Linked DNA regions of Ovis aries. The protein of the gene in region 1 purifies or fractionates together with the protein of each later gene. This does not show direct contact. Links are inferred from orthologs where the notes say so. Each region holds a gene or a part of one and is shown in the gene's direction. Other genes may lie near its edges.

Region 1 (3,519 bases):
GGCATCGTGCGTCTCAGAGTCTGCCCCGGGGTCCCATGGCCACTGTGGCTCTGGCTGCTGGTTCTGGCAGTGTGGAAATCAGCCAAGGCCAGCCCGAAGACTGTGTGGTCCTTGTTCTTGTGATCTAGAAGAATGTTGTCTGTCAGCTCATATGCTTGTTTCCTGGCTTAGCAGACAACTTTCAGTCTTTCAGAGCAGCAGGCCTGTGCTGAACGGTTTTATTTCCCTTCTTATAAATGGGAACAGCAGATTGTTGCCAAATTTAGTACCGTTAAATGGGTAAGCGTTGGTTGCTCATGGTGTCTCAAAGCTGGAAAAGGGCCCTACGGTGTGGGTGGTCGTGAGTCTGCTGAAGACTCCTGCCACCAGGACAGCCCCTCCCTCTCCTCCTCACCCCTCTGCCGATGTTCCCTGGTGGCTTGGACCCAGAGACTGCGTGTGAGAGAGAGCGAACTTACTCAGCCTATCAGAGTTAAACCCAGCACAGAGCTGTGTTGCCCACTCTTTCAAGCTGAGGGGATTTCCCCTTCTCTGAGGAAGCCCTCACTTTCAGACGAAGGTCCAGGAGAGTAGGTGGGATAAGGGAGTGTCTCGGAGGAAGCAGAGAGGAAACCAGTTTTCCATCCTAACAGCTGATAGTCCTCTCTGGGTGTGGAGAACCTGCTTCCCGTAGCATCGTTGGGTGTGTGTGCTGCGCGTGCCTGTGACATCCCAGGCGCTGGCTCCCTTTGCCGTCTGGGTTAGGTGTGCTCAGCCCTCTTTCTTTGGCACTTCCTCTAGGCGCTGAAAGAAAAAGAGCTGGGGAATGAAGCCTATAAGAAGAAGGACTTTGACACAGCCTTGAAGCACTACGACAGAGCCAAGGACCTGGATCCCACCAACATGACGTACATAACCAACCAAGCAGGTGAGGCCTGGGCCCGGGCGCGGGAGCGCTCCCAAGGCCCCGGGGAAGAGGCAAGGGCTGACGCTTCCTTCTTGACCTTCTGCTTGGCAGCCGTGTACTTCGAAAAGGGTGACTACGGTCAGTGCCGGGAGCTCTGTGAGAAGGCCATTGAAGTGGGGCGAGAAAACCGAGAAGACTACCGGCAGATTGCCAAGTACGCTTGCCCTGGAGTGCCTTGGGTAGTGGGGAGGGTCCCGTGTCTGCATGGGGGGGCCGGAAAGGAGGCTGCGGGGGCTGAGACAGAAGGCGTTAGAAGGGCATGGTACGGGGCCCAGCGATGCGGGCTTGTGTCTAGATGTCTTTCCTCTGGAGAGGCTGACCTTGTCTGTGCTCTGCCCTTAGCAAATTCTTTTTCCTTGGGTCTTTGTCAGAGCTTACGCACGAATTGGCAACTCTTATTTCAAAGAAGAAAAGTACAAGGATGCCATCCATTTCTACAACAAGTCTCTGGCAGAGCACCGAACCCCAGATGTGCTCAAGAGATGCCAACAGGTGGGTAGGGAATGAGGGATGTTTTCTTAATTCGATTTATTGTAGTCATTTATTTAGTAATGAATTTGTTGTCTTCGGTTATTTTGTATGATGCGTCCCCTGTTAATGATGAGAACACATAGAAATAACCCAGTTTTTCTGCTGTCTTTTTCAGTCGACCAGGGTTTTGACCTTAAATTTGTTGAGGGTCAGTGCACTGACAGCGTTGTGGCTTTTATTGTAAATTAAGACTCTGATGCTGGGAAAGATTGAAGGCGGGAGGAGAAGGGGACGACAGGATGAGATGGTTGGATGGCATCACCGACTCGATGGACACGAGTTTGGGTAGACTCCAGGAGTTGATGATGGACAGGGAGGCCTGACGTGCTGCAGTCCATGGGGTCATAAAGAGTCGGACACAACTGAGCGACTGAATCGAACTGAAATGTTTTCTTACTTTATACAACCAAAGTATGTAGGGGGATGATTTTATTCACAGAAAGATTGGTCGGAAAAATAAGAGCTGCTAATCCGTCATTTCCATATAAGGCATATCTTTGTACCAAGTGTATGTCAATACCGGTGGTTCTGTTTCATAGTATATACATCTTGATAATGAGAAATGTGAAATTCATTTCTTTAATTGACGTAAGGTTGATTTACATTATTTCAGTCATACAACAGCAACTCAGAACTATTTAAAGTTATAAAATATTGGCTATATTCTCTGTGCTGTACAGTTTATCTTTGTAGTTTGTACATAGTGTAAGGACTGTAAAATTATTAATCCCAAAATTAAATCTCACCAGCAGTACCTCACAGTTCAGTCAGTAAAGAATCTGCCTGCAGTGCAGGAAACCCAGGCTCAATTCCTGGGTTAGGAAGACCCCCTGGAGAAGGACATGGCAGCCCACTCTGGGGTTCTTGCCTGGAGAATTCCATGGACAGAAGAGCCTGGCAGGCTGCAGTCTGTGAGGTCGCAAGAGTCGGACACGACAGTGACTAAACCACCACCGCCAAGCAGTACTTTCTGAAAACTGAAATTCTGATAAGACTGTTTATTAGCCCAGTGTTACGAGAGTTTAAATGACTATTTAAAGAACCTTTTTTAGGCAGAGAAAATCTTGAAGGAGCAAGAGCGGCTGGCCTACATAAACCCTGACCTGGCCTTGGAGGAGAAGAATAAAGGCAATGAGTGTTTCCAGAAAGGGGACTACCCCCAGGCCATGAAGCACTACACAGAAGCCATTAAACGGAACCCCAAAGACGCCAAGCTGTACAGCAACCGAGCTGCCTGCTACACCAAGCTCCTGGAGTTCCAGCTGGCGCTCAAGGTGAGGGCAGGGCAGCCTGTCCATGAGGAATGTGTCTTCCTCTTTTCATGTGCTCATTAGCATCAGTTTGACGTTCTTATTTTGATCATAGATTCAAGGTGATGGTGCATGTATGAGATTGTGAAGTGCAGGGCCTATGTGTGCCCTGTCCTGGCCCGTGTAGTGTTACTTGGCACGTGGGAAGTGCCTGGGAAAGAAGACCCTTTTCCCTTCCTGTTGCCTCTCTCCATGTGTTAACTGTTTGGCCTTTCTGACGTTTTGATTGCACAGTTGAGTGGCATCGAGTCCGCACACACTGTTGTGCAGCCATCGCCACCCTCTGCTGCAGAGCTTTTCCATCTTCCCAAGTGGAACTGCATCTTCTGAACACTAAACTCCCCATTCCTCTCCTCCAGCCCCTAGCAACCAGTGTTCTGTTTTCTGTCTTTGAATTTGATCACTCTGGGGACCTCCTGTAAGTGGGATCATACAGCATTGACCTTTTGTGCCTGGCTCACGTCACTTAGCATAGTGTCTTCGAGGTTCATGTTGTAGCATGTCGGTGTTTTCTTCTCGTGGCTGAATGGTATTCTGTTGTATGGATGGACCACACTGTTTGTCGGTTCACCCATCAGTGGGGGTTGTTCTGCTTCGGGCGGCGCTGCTGTGAACGGGGGTGTACAGATGTCTGTCTGTCCCTCGTATCGGTCCTTCCAGGTGTTGCACGCAGCAGTGGAGGTATTGCAGTTCTGTGTTTGATTTGGGGGAGGGGTGAACTGCCTTGCTTTC
Region 2 (2,488 bases), on another chromosome or scaffold:
AAGAAATTGTTAGAAAGCAGATACCATCAAATTGGTTCTGGGAAGGTAAAGCCATTTGGATTCTATTCAGTGAACGGTGGGGTGGGTTTCTTTGTTTTAAGGGAATTTCATAACCTGTTTTGAGAAGGAAAAAAATGGCTTGACATTAGAACAGTGGTAACAGTTTTGTCTTCTTTTTATCTTTTGTTTTTAGTGTGAAATCAAAGTTGCACAACCTAAAGAGGTATATAGACAGCAACAGCAACAACAAAAGGGAGGAAGAGGTGCTGCAGCTGGTGGGCGAGGTGGTACTAGGGGTCGAGGCCGAGGTGAGACCTAATTCTAGGGAAATGAGGCAATGGTTTAGGCTATCAACTGCTAAATATGAATAAGCCCATTGGAGAGTAAAGCCAAATTTAAACTGTTAGAGCACGCTCATTTTAGTCCATGGGTTTTTGTTTTACTGGTTTCACTTCTTCAAAGAATAGCCACTCTGACAGTGTCAGTACTGATGGGAAAATAGTCCCATTGAATGTAATAAGATTACATGATACACCTTGGCATGACAGGTTTTCTGTGGCAGGAGTCCTTGTTCTAAACATGCTTGCTGTCCCCTTGATTTTTTTTTATCCCCCATTAGATTTAGGAAGCCTGATACTGGCACAGTTGGACTTGATACACACACACACACACACACACACACACACCCTTTTTTTTTTTTTTTTAATAACTGTAGTGATATTTTCTTGACCAGATAGCACTGTAAATGTCCATTCTTCCTTTTTAAGATTTCCAGGGTGAGGGACAGGAATGCATCATTTTATTTTAGGATTGGGGGTCAGAAGTTGTTTCCTAACAATCATTGTGCATTGTTTCAGGTCAGGGCCAAAACTGGAACCAAGGATTTAATAACTATTATGATCAAGGATATGGAAATTACAATAGTGCCTATGGTGGTGATCAAAACTATAGTGGCTATGGCGGCTATGATTATACTGGGTATAACTATGGGAACTATGGATATGGACAGGGATATGCAGACTACAGTGGTAAGAATATTTATTTAACTTCATAAACCAATGGTATTATGATTCATCTCAATTCTGAGATTGTGTTATAGACGTGTTTAGAGTTAAATTTTTGAGATGTAATAGTCACGGGGTTATACTGACTTAGTGACTGGTTATTATGAGCATTCTAGAATGTGGTATGTGCCTAATTTATAGTAACTTAAAATGTCTTAATTCTACTATTTGGCATGCAGAACTTTGCATATCTAATAGCTTTTAAATATATAGCAAAACCATATCATTAAAAGCTAAGTGTAATTTTTTTGTCTTTTCCACATAGGCCAACAGAGTACTTACGGCAAGGCATCCCGAGGGGGTGGCAATCACCAAAACAATTACCAGCCATATTAAAGGGGACACTGCAGAAAACAGGTGTGTATCAGAGTTCAAGAAACCAGTGGAAATGTCTAATTTAATTTAAAGATCAATAGACAAATGAAAATGAGTAAAAACAAAATACCACGTAGCGTGTTTTTACTAAATTGTTAAATTTTTACTTGCTTTATGAGCCTGTTTTGCCTAAAATGTCTATAGATCTTTAACTTTAAAGTTTTATCTCACTTTCTTTAGTAATAACAGAAAAACTTAAGAGTTTTTCTGTTTGCTTTGTGTACCAGGTGGTCTAGAGGAATAATTAAACTTTTTAGAACTATTAACAGGTAAAGTACTGAAATGGGTACAACTTAAGGAAAACAAGAATGTTGTCTTCTAACTCTGACATTATACCTTGTTTGTACCCGCCAGCGGGAACTTCATTGCAGGCCGTGTGTCACCCTGACCACGTCTATCTCTGGGGGTCGCACGTTGCGGGCAGAGCGCAAGGCATACACCAGAAAACGCTGTCCTGTGGTATGGTCTCTTCCAACTTCATGTACCAGCGTAAAGATTAAAGTGGAAAACTTCAGACTTTGGCTTCTTTTTTAATCTTTTTGAAGATTAAGTGTCTAAACTTAACTTAAATGGTTTTTTACAGGAGTTAAAGTACATAAATGCCTTTTTACAGCTTAATCATTTTGGTCTTCTGTTTAGTGTTGTATTTCAATTGTGGAGCCTCATTTTAAGTGTTCATTCTTTAAGATTTAATGCTTGCTTTTTCTTTTTATAGCTAATAGTGAAATCTACAAACCAAAACAAGAACTTTAAAATCTGGGATTTAAATTAAAGATCATATGCACATAGCAATTTGTTGCCTTGAAATACAAGCGTGTTAGAAATTCATGTTTGTAATAGAATTTTACATGGCTTACTAGAGACACTTCTAGTAAACCTTGCATCTAGCACAGTTCAATCTGTGAATATGAAAAGATTGTAAAAAAAAAAAAGATTGTGTTCCCTGATTTTTTAAGTAAATTTTAATATTTTTAAGTAATTTTAATATGGTATCATATGGGAACTTCAAAGTGAGATGATGATGATTATAATTACCCAAACTGCATTTT
Region 3 (3,519 bases), on another chromosome or scaffold:
GAAGCCCAGCCTGGCGAATTGGAAAGGAGGTGCAGAGTGGCCCCAGAAACTCTGGCCTTCCCTGAGCTGGAAATGGAGAGACCAACCTTCCTGAATATGTAAAGCAGCCAGCCCTTCAGCTCCACCCTCCTTTATTTACACTTGGCTTTTCTCTCCCAGTAAATTCAACAACCTCAATTCTGGATCTTTGTTGGAGAGACAGGAGTGACTTCCTGATCTGGCCAAACTCTTGGCATGAATGACTTAGTTTCCTTGCCCTTCCTGTCTCCCCACCCTTTATCTTCCCAAATTGCTCCAGGCACTAAGGGAGAAGGGGTGTGTCAGGACGAAGTGACAGGGAGGGAAGGTGAAGTTGTCATCACAGACCCTTCTGTGAGGTGAACGAGGTGAACGGGGGAAATGGCCTGGCTCCTGGACAAGTGGTCTTTTCTCTCGGGCTGACTGTGGGATTTTCCGGGGACCAGGAGTGAGAGGGTTTGAGTTCAAGCCTCGGGACCCCTGCGTATTAATTAGGCTTCTTGGGCAAGTTGCCTTAACCCCTCTGAGCTTTTATTCCTCATCTAAGAAATAGGGCTGTGGGAACTTCCCTGGCGGTCCAGTGGTTGAGAATCTGTGCTTCCACTGCGGAGGGCATGGGTTTGATCTCTGGTTGAGGAACTAAGGTCCTGCGTGCCATGTGGTGTGGCCAAAAATAAAAATAAGAAATAGGACTCTCAATCTCCATGCACCTCCCCGGGCTCACCTACATGTGACCCAGGATGGCTTCTGCCTCTCTTCCCCCAGTTCTGGGTCGGTTAGAAGTGACCGGTATGGGTGGTTCCCAGAGAGGACTCTGTTTTGCTCTAAATGAGTAGCTGGATGACTCAGCGGGGTGGGTGGGATGCACTGTAGGTCACAGTTTCCCGCCCTGTGTCAGCTCTGAACTTGGGTGGGAGTCTGGTGTCCTGGGAGAAATGGACTTTGACATAACTCTTCCTTTTCACTCCTGGGGGGCTTGGTCCTGCGTGAGGCTAAATAGACTTGCTTACCCAGCCTTCGGGCTGGTGATGTGTGTGAGTGTGTAAAATGAGTGAGTCTGAGTGTGTTGGAGACCAGACATGGAGGAGGGGTAGGGCCAGTCTTACACTATTTAACTGTGTTCCCCGCAGGTCACAGAACTAGAGGGTGCATTTCAGGGTCTTTGTGCCCATCTCGGGTGGGACAGGCACTCAGGTTTGGGTCACATCCCTGCTATTCATGGTCTCCCCATCCAGCTTTCTTTGCTCCAGGGTGAATGTTCGTGAATGTGCTCTTGGGTGAACTAGTTTGCCTGGAGAGTAGAGGCCATGAGTCCCCGGGGACGTAAATGCCACCTTTGTTTTTCTCCACCCTCTGTCCTCACCCATCATTTTCTAATCCGCTCTCTCTGTGGTCAGTGCTGTTTGAGATCTCCCTTCCATCCTTCCTTCTGGGGCAGCTGGGTGGGGGTCTGTCCTGCTGGAGAAGATAGCGCCTCCATCTCCCCGCCCCCTCTGACCAGCCCTTCTCTCCCCAACAGGTAGCGCAGGGCCTTCTGTAGCCATGTCGGCCAAGGCGATTTCTGAGCAGACAGGCAAAGAACTCCTCTACAAGTACATCTGCACCACCTCGGCCATCCAGAACCGCTTCAAGTACGCCCGGGTCACCCCTGACACAGACTGGGCCCGCCTGTTGCAGGACCACCCGTGGCTGCTCAGCCAGGTGAGCCCTCCGTCCCGCCAGGCCCCTCCTCCAGGCCCAGATGTCCCCTTAGAACGTGTGATGGCAGATGGCCTGCCTGGGTGGGCAGGGTGCAGGGGGCTGAGCGCGTTTTGTGTTCAGCCCTTTGTGCCGCACGCTGAGGTGCTGCGCCTGGACTGGAACTGGTCAGCTGGAGTCCGGGTGGCGGCTCTCTGGTTATTAACCATGTGGCCTGGGGCAAACCATTTCACCTCTCTTGAGTTTTAGATTCCCCATCTGTCATATGGGCAAACCACTCACCCTGTGAATTTAAGGACTAGCAATAATGCCTGGAAAGTCTTTGGTCTGCTGCCTGGCATTTGGTAAATGCTCAGTAAAAAGCACCTGCTCCGTCAGGAATATGTCAGGGCCACGAGGAAATGCGATGCTGTACTTTGTGAAGAATGGCTGATGGAATCCACCCAGAGTAGGGAATCCTCTCTGTAGATCCATTTGGACGTCTCTGGCAGGTCCCAGAGAACTAGGACCAGTGAGGGGCCGAGTGGGAGGGTGTTCAGGGATGCAATTTTCCTTCTGCTATGAGGCAGCCCAAACCCCAAACCACAAAGGCAGTTGGTAAACTTCCTGGTACTGGAGGTGTGTGAGCAGTGGCCAGGGGCTGCTTGTAGATCTTGTAGGTGGGGTTCAAACATAGGGATGTCTTGACCAGATGTCTTCTGCGGTGCTTTGTCACCCCAGGGCTCTGTCTTTCTATTCTTTCTTTTTGGAATGTGGGTGCCGGTCCATATTCTGAGGTGTTGAATGAAGCTAAGATATCACATAGGGAGGGTAGGGAATCCTTTACTCATTCAGCAGGTATTCAGTGAGCACCTACTCTGTGCCAGACCCTATCCTGAGCCAGGACAGCTCTAGATTCCCGGTTGTCAAAGGTGTTGGCTGGGATAGGTGAAGGAAGCTTCTGGGAGCTGACCTTGAAGATGGGTGGAATTTACCTTGGGGGTGGGGTGAATTGGAAGCCACCCAGGCTATCCTGTGCTTTGGGGCCCTAGACTATTACCTCTTAACTCTTCCCTCTCCTTCTTTGCTCTAAATACAAACCCCTCTTGGAAATTCCCTGGTACTGCAGGGGTTAGGACTCCAGGCTCTCAATGCCAAGAGCCTGGGTTCAATTCCTGGTTGGAGAACTAGATCCCACAAGCCACATGGCTCAGCCAAAACACAAAACAAGCAAACCAACTCTCTTGTTCCAGAGCTTGGTGGTCAAGCCAGACCAGCTGATCAAACGGCGTGGAAAGCTGGGCCTAGTTGGGGTCAACCTCACTCTGGATGGAGTCAAGTCCTGGCTGAAGCCACGCCTGGGACAGGAGGCTACAGTGAGTCTGGGTGTAGGGTTGGGGTGGATGTGCTGTGGTAACAGAAGCAAACATGGCTGCTTCCAGATCTGCAACCCTATGGATCACCCCCGCGACTGGTCCGATTGCAGCCTGGGGAGGGCAGGAGTCCTGCAGAGCTGGCTTATGTAGTAGGGCCAGTTGGATGCTCATTCCGAGCTCCCCTGACAGGGAATGGTGAGATGTGCTGTACAAGTAGAAGTATTACAGGCACTTCTGTGGTGGTCCAGTGGTTAAGAATCTGCCTTCCAATGCAGGGGATGAAGGTTCTATCCCTGGTCGGGGAAGTAAGATCCCACGTGCTACAGGGAAGCTGAGCCTGAGGAACCCGAGCCAGGCCGAAATAGTCTGTTCCTTTAACAACAGTCGTGGTGATGGGACTCTGAGACCTACTCTGGGAACTCCTTTCTTTTCAATTACCAGAAAGGGT
Region 4 (3,519 bases), on another chromosome or scaffold:
GTCACTGGTGCTGCCCCTGGGGGAAGGGCAGGGTGTGCGCCACGCCTGTCTAGTCTCCGCTTAGAGCTTTTGCTTTGGAATGTTTGCTTCATATGATACATTAGGCACCACCCTGGAAGTGGGATGTGATCAGTGCCCTCAACTCCTTTTTAAGATACAGGAAACTGGCACTGAAGTGGCATCCAGATAAAAATCCTGAGAACAAAGAAGAAGCAGAGAGAAAATTCAAGCAAGTAGCTGAGGCGTATGAAGTGTTGTCAGACGGTGAGTGGGGAGCGTGGGGGCTGTGTCCCCGGGTGGGGCCTGCAGAGGAAGGCCTGGCCGAGGGGCTTCGGGGTCGTGAGGGGGGTTTTCTGGGCAGACTGGGTGTCCTGTCCCCGCCAGCCTCCCGATAAGGCCCTGTGAGTGCTGTGTGCCCTGGCCTCTAGGCGTCTCCCGGGCGGCTCTGTAAGTCTGCCTGGCGCCGGAGGCCGCCGGGGCCTCTGGCCCACGTCGCCCTCCTGAGCACCCTGTGCTGAGGTGCTGGCCTCCTGGGAAGGCCCTCCTGAGTTTCGGGAAGTCAGGCGTTGCGCACACTGCTGAGGTGTGGACTCCACAGCTTGTACGCTTCCCTGCCCTGTTAAGAGTTGGGAGCTGAACGGCGCTGGAAGCTCAGGCCTGTTGGTTTAGTTTCATGGGTCGTACAGAGGGTGTTAGCCAGACCTTGGGTTCTTGGTAAGAGAAGCCTTGGGGCAGGGCGAGGACTGTGGAACTTCGTGAGAAAACTGGAAGAGTGCTCACAGCGCCTTGCCGGGAAGCAGCCCTGAGTGACCTGGTGTGACTCTCGGCCGAGGTGCTTGAAAGACTAGACCAGAGGAAGCGGACACCTGCTCTGGTTTAGAAGAAGGCCTCGTCACCTCACTCCATGAGCGTCTGGTGTAGTTGACTATCACTGTCCTGCTTGTGTGCCTGATCAGCACTCCCAGATTTGTGGATCCACAGATCAAGAACATGAGACAATTTGAGAAGTAAATTCAAACGTCAAACGTGATTTTTGGCAGCAGCAGAACCTTTAAAGCTGCCATGAAAATGCTGCCTTTTGTGTGTATTTGTAAGGGGGAGTCTATTCTTCATGCTTCCTTAGGAAGCCTTCAGTTCCAGGAGTTACCGGCACAGACACACAGCTACTGTTCTTAAGGCGCTGATAGCCACCCTGGCTGCGGATAGCTTGCTTCCACACTTGTTTCCCCGTTGCCCCCTTACTTGCCACACACAGTGTGTCTGCAGAGCCTCTGTGTCTGAGCAGGGCTGCACTGTTGCTGCTCTTGTTTGAGAACCATCGCCCGGGCTCAGGCGGGCTGCTGCCTGGCCAGGGACGGCCAGGCTGGGGGCTGGCTCCATGTGGCCCCTCTCTGCCCTCGCCAAGGCCCTGTCCTGCTCCTTGCTGTGCCGTGGGTCTTCTCCCGAGTTGCACTTTGTAGTCAGGTCGATGTCTAGGGGTGGAGTCGCTTTGCAGCTTTGTAGTGGGGTTTTGATGCAGTGCGTGGCACACAGTTAGCAGTAGAGTGAAATAAGGTTTTTTTTTTTTTTTTTTTAAATAAGTCTTTTAAGCTTTACTTAAAAATATTCTGAGGTGTTTTTAAGGGAGTTGTTGCTGTTCAGTCCCTGAGTTGCAGCCGGACTCTTTGGACCCCGGGGGCTGCAGCCGCCAGACTTTGATGCCCTCAAGTGTCACAGTAAGGGGTCCCAGCTCTTCAGAAACAAGTGTGGGCCTTGAGAGCTGTGGGGGGCCTTTCGTTCACAGCTTCAGAAACGCTTTACTGACTTTGAGGGAAGAGAACTTGGTCTTTACTGACTTGTCTTCTTAAATTTATAGCTAAAAAACGGGACATCTATGACAGATACGGCAAAGAAGGATTAAACGGTGGCGGTGGAGGTACGTGTGTGCACACTGGTCTTTCTCCTGGCCTTGTGATGAAAGGAGGTGCCCTGATGATACAGTCTGACTGCGATCCAGTCTGTCAGTCAACAGGAATGCAGTCTGTAGAGCAGGCTGGACTGGGGAGAGGAAGGAGAGACTGATGGCCTGGAAAAGGCCTGTTAAAAATCTTGTACTAGAAAGTACTTACTGGTATACCTTTCGTAGATAGGAAATACCGTAAAACCTTACTATCATACACTGAGTGTACCCTGAGATCAATATTGGAGGTTGTGTCAAAAACATCCTTACTGGATGTTCTATCAAAAAACTAAAGAGCCACCAAAGTGGCTGCCTCTGGTCATGAGGCTTGGACGTGTGTGTTTTGATGGAAAGTGGCGCAGTAACCTGCTGCCCCGCGAGCTCCGTGGTGGGCGTTTGGGCTTGCACACCTCAGACCTCCTGCACATGCCCGAGCAGCTGTTCCACAGCCTGAAATGCTGTGTGTGGCTGGCGCACCCAGAGCGGCGGGAGCCCCCAGTGCGCGGGTGGCTCGAGGGCGGCTCGGGGACCGCTCACGGACATGGACCTGCGCGCGTTTCTTAGCTCCTGGCGCAGGAGACTTTGCTCCTAGCAGGACTTGCGCGAGCTTCGGGTGTATGGAACTCATTCGTTGTTTGGGTCGGGATGCAGGTAGTAATGCGTAGACAGTGTGTGTCAGTGCCTGCCACGCGGGAGGCCCTGACTGAGCTGTGCTTGCTTCTGTAGGTGGAAGTCACTTCGACAGTCCATTTGAGTTTGGCTTCACATTCCGAAACCCAGATGAAGTCTTCAGGGAATTTTTTGGTGGAAGGGACCCATTTTCATTCGACTTCTTCGGTAAGTTCTTCATCTGGGTCGTCATTCACATAACATGTTCATGACTCACGACGACGGATGCACCCTTGCCGTCTCACCACTCTTGTAGCTTGTCCTTGAACTTGCTGTTTGAGCGGTGCACGAGTTTAACTAAACCCTTTTCCCTTCTTCCTGTGGAAGATGCTGTAGAGTTTATACCTTGCACGTTAACATAGTGAGAGTTTGAGTGTGGACTTTACACCTTGCACGGGAACATAATAAAGGTTTGAACGCTTTGTGTCCTTGGCTGTGCGTTTCACCCTAATTAGCTTCCTCTGCAGTGGGAAGGAGGTGGGGCTGCTCCTGGTCGGACAATGAATTCTCTGAATTTCCTGTGTAGGAGTCTGATTGAAAACACTAAGCATCAAGGCAGATGTTGCTCAGAAGACATTTGATTCATAAACTTCTCTTTGTTTTTCTGATTGTGGTGTTAGGACTGTTAAGTTTGCAGTTCTTGGAAAGAAAGGACACCTCTAGAGCAAGGTATCACAAGTGTTTGTCTTTGAGAATAGCTTTGCCGGGAGACCTTGCTGCTCTGGCTGCTCTTCACTGTAGGAGAGCGTTCCCAGCCGCTGGCCTCCGGGTCCTGGTGCCCGATGCGAGGCGGCGTGGCGGGAATGCGTGGCAGGGTCTGGCATTGGCAGTGGGGTGAGCTGGGCCGCCTGCCGTGCGCACCGTGATGCCTGTTGTCTCTGCCCCTGGGTGGGGAGACAGTGCCCTGGGTC

The links. The genes of interacting proteins can lie anywhere in the genome.
Region 2: the proteins of STIP1 (region 1) and HNRNPDL fractionate together in Homo sapiens (co-fractionation; 3 studies listed by BioGRID, with this or other methods). This does not show direct contact. The link is inferred for Ovis aries from reciprocal best matches to the Homo sapiens genes STIP1 and HNRNPDL.
Region 3: the proteins of STIP1 (region 1) and ACLY fractionate together in Homo sapiens (co-fractionation; 3 studies listed by BioGRID, with this or other methods). This does not show direct contact. The link is inferred for Ovis aries from reciprocal best matches to the Homo sapiens genes STIP1 and ACLY.
Region 4: the proteins of STIP1 (region 1) and DNAJB6 purify together in Homo sapiens (affinity purification with mass spectrometry; 3 studies listed by BioGRID and IntAct, with this or other methods). This does not show direct contact. The link is inferred for Ovis aries from reciprocal best matches to the Homo sapiens genes STIP1 and DNAJB6.

The regions. Positions count from the first base shown.
Region 1 is NC_056074.1:38,952,118-38,955,636, forward strand, and holds part of STIP1 (stress-induced-phosphoprotein 1), read left to right. Parts: intron 1-780; coding exon 781-907; intron 908-997; coding exon 998-1,100; intron 1,101-1,317; coding exon 1,318-1,438; intron 1,439-2,529; coding exon 2,530-2,751; intron 2,752-3,519. UniProt on the Homo sapiens protein: Acts as a co-chaperone for HSP90AA1. Mediates the association of the molecular chaperones HSPA8/HSC70 and HSP90.
Region 2 is NC_056059.1:97,922,974-97,925,461, reverse strand, and holds part of HNRNPDL (heterogeneous nuclear ribonucleoprotein D-like), read left to right. Parts: coding exon 1-45; intron 46-193; coding exon 194-308; intron 309-857; coding exon 858-1,028; intron 1,029-1,329; coding exon 1,330-1,400; 3' UTR 1,401-1,421; exon of another isoform or gene 1,422-1,793; 3' UTR 1,794-2,488. UniProt on the Homo sapiens protein: Acts as a transcriptional regulator. Promotes transcription repression. Promotes transcription activation in differentiated myotubes. Binds to double- and single-stranded DNA sequences. Binds to the transcription suppressor CATR sequence of the COX5B promoter.
Region 3 is NC_056064.1:41,823,459-41,826,977, reverse strand, and holds part of ACLY (ATP-citrate synthase), read left to right. Parts: intron 1-1,532; coding exon of another isoform or gene 1,533-1,560; coding exon 1,561-1,719; intron 1,720-2,948; coding exon 2,949-3,071; intron 3,072-3,519. UniProt on the Homo sapiens protein: Catalyzes the cleavage of citrate into oxaloacetate and acetyl-CoA, the latter serving as common substrate in multiple biochemical reactions in protein, carbohydrate and lipid metabolism.
Region 4 is NC_056057.1:120,213,943-120,217,461, forward strand, and holds part of DNAJB6 (dnaJ homolog subfamily B member 6), read left to right. Parts: intron 1-154; coding exon 155-264; intron 265-1,855; coding exon 1,856-1,915; intron 1,916-2,665; coding exon 2,666-2,776; intron 2,777-3,519. UniProt on the Homo sapiens protein: Has a stimulatory effect on the ATPase activity of HSP70 in a dose-dependent and time-dependent manner and hence acts as a co-chaperone of HSP70. Plays an indispensable role in the organization of KRT8/KRT18 filaments.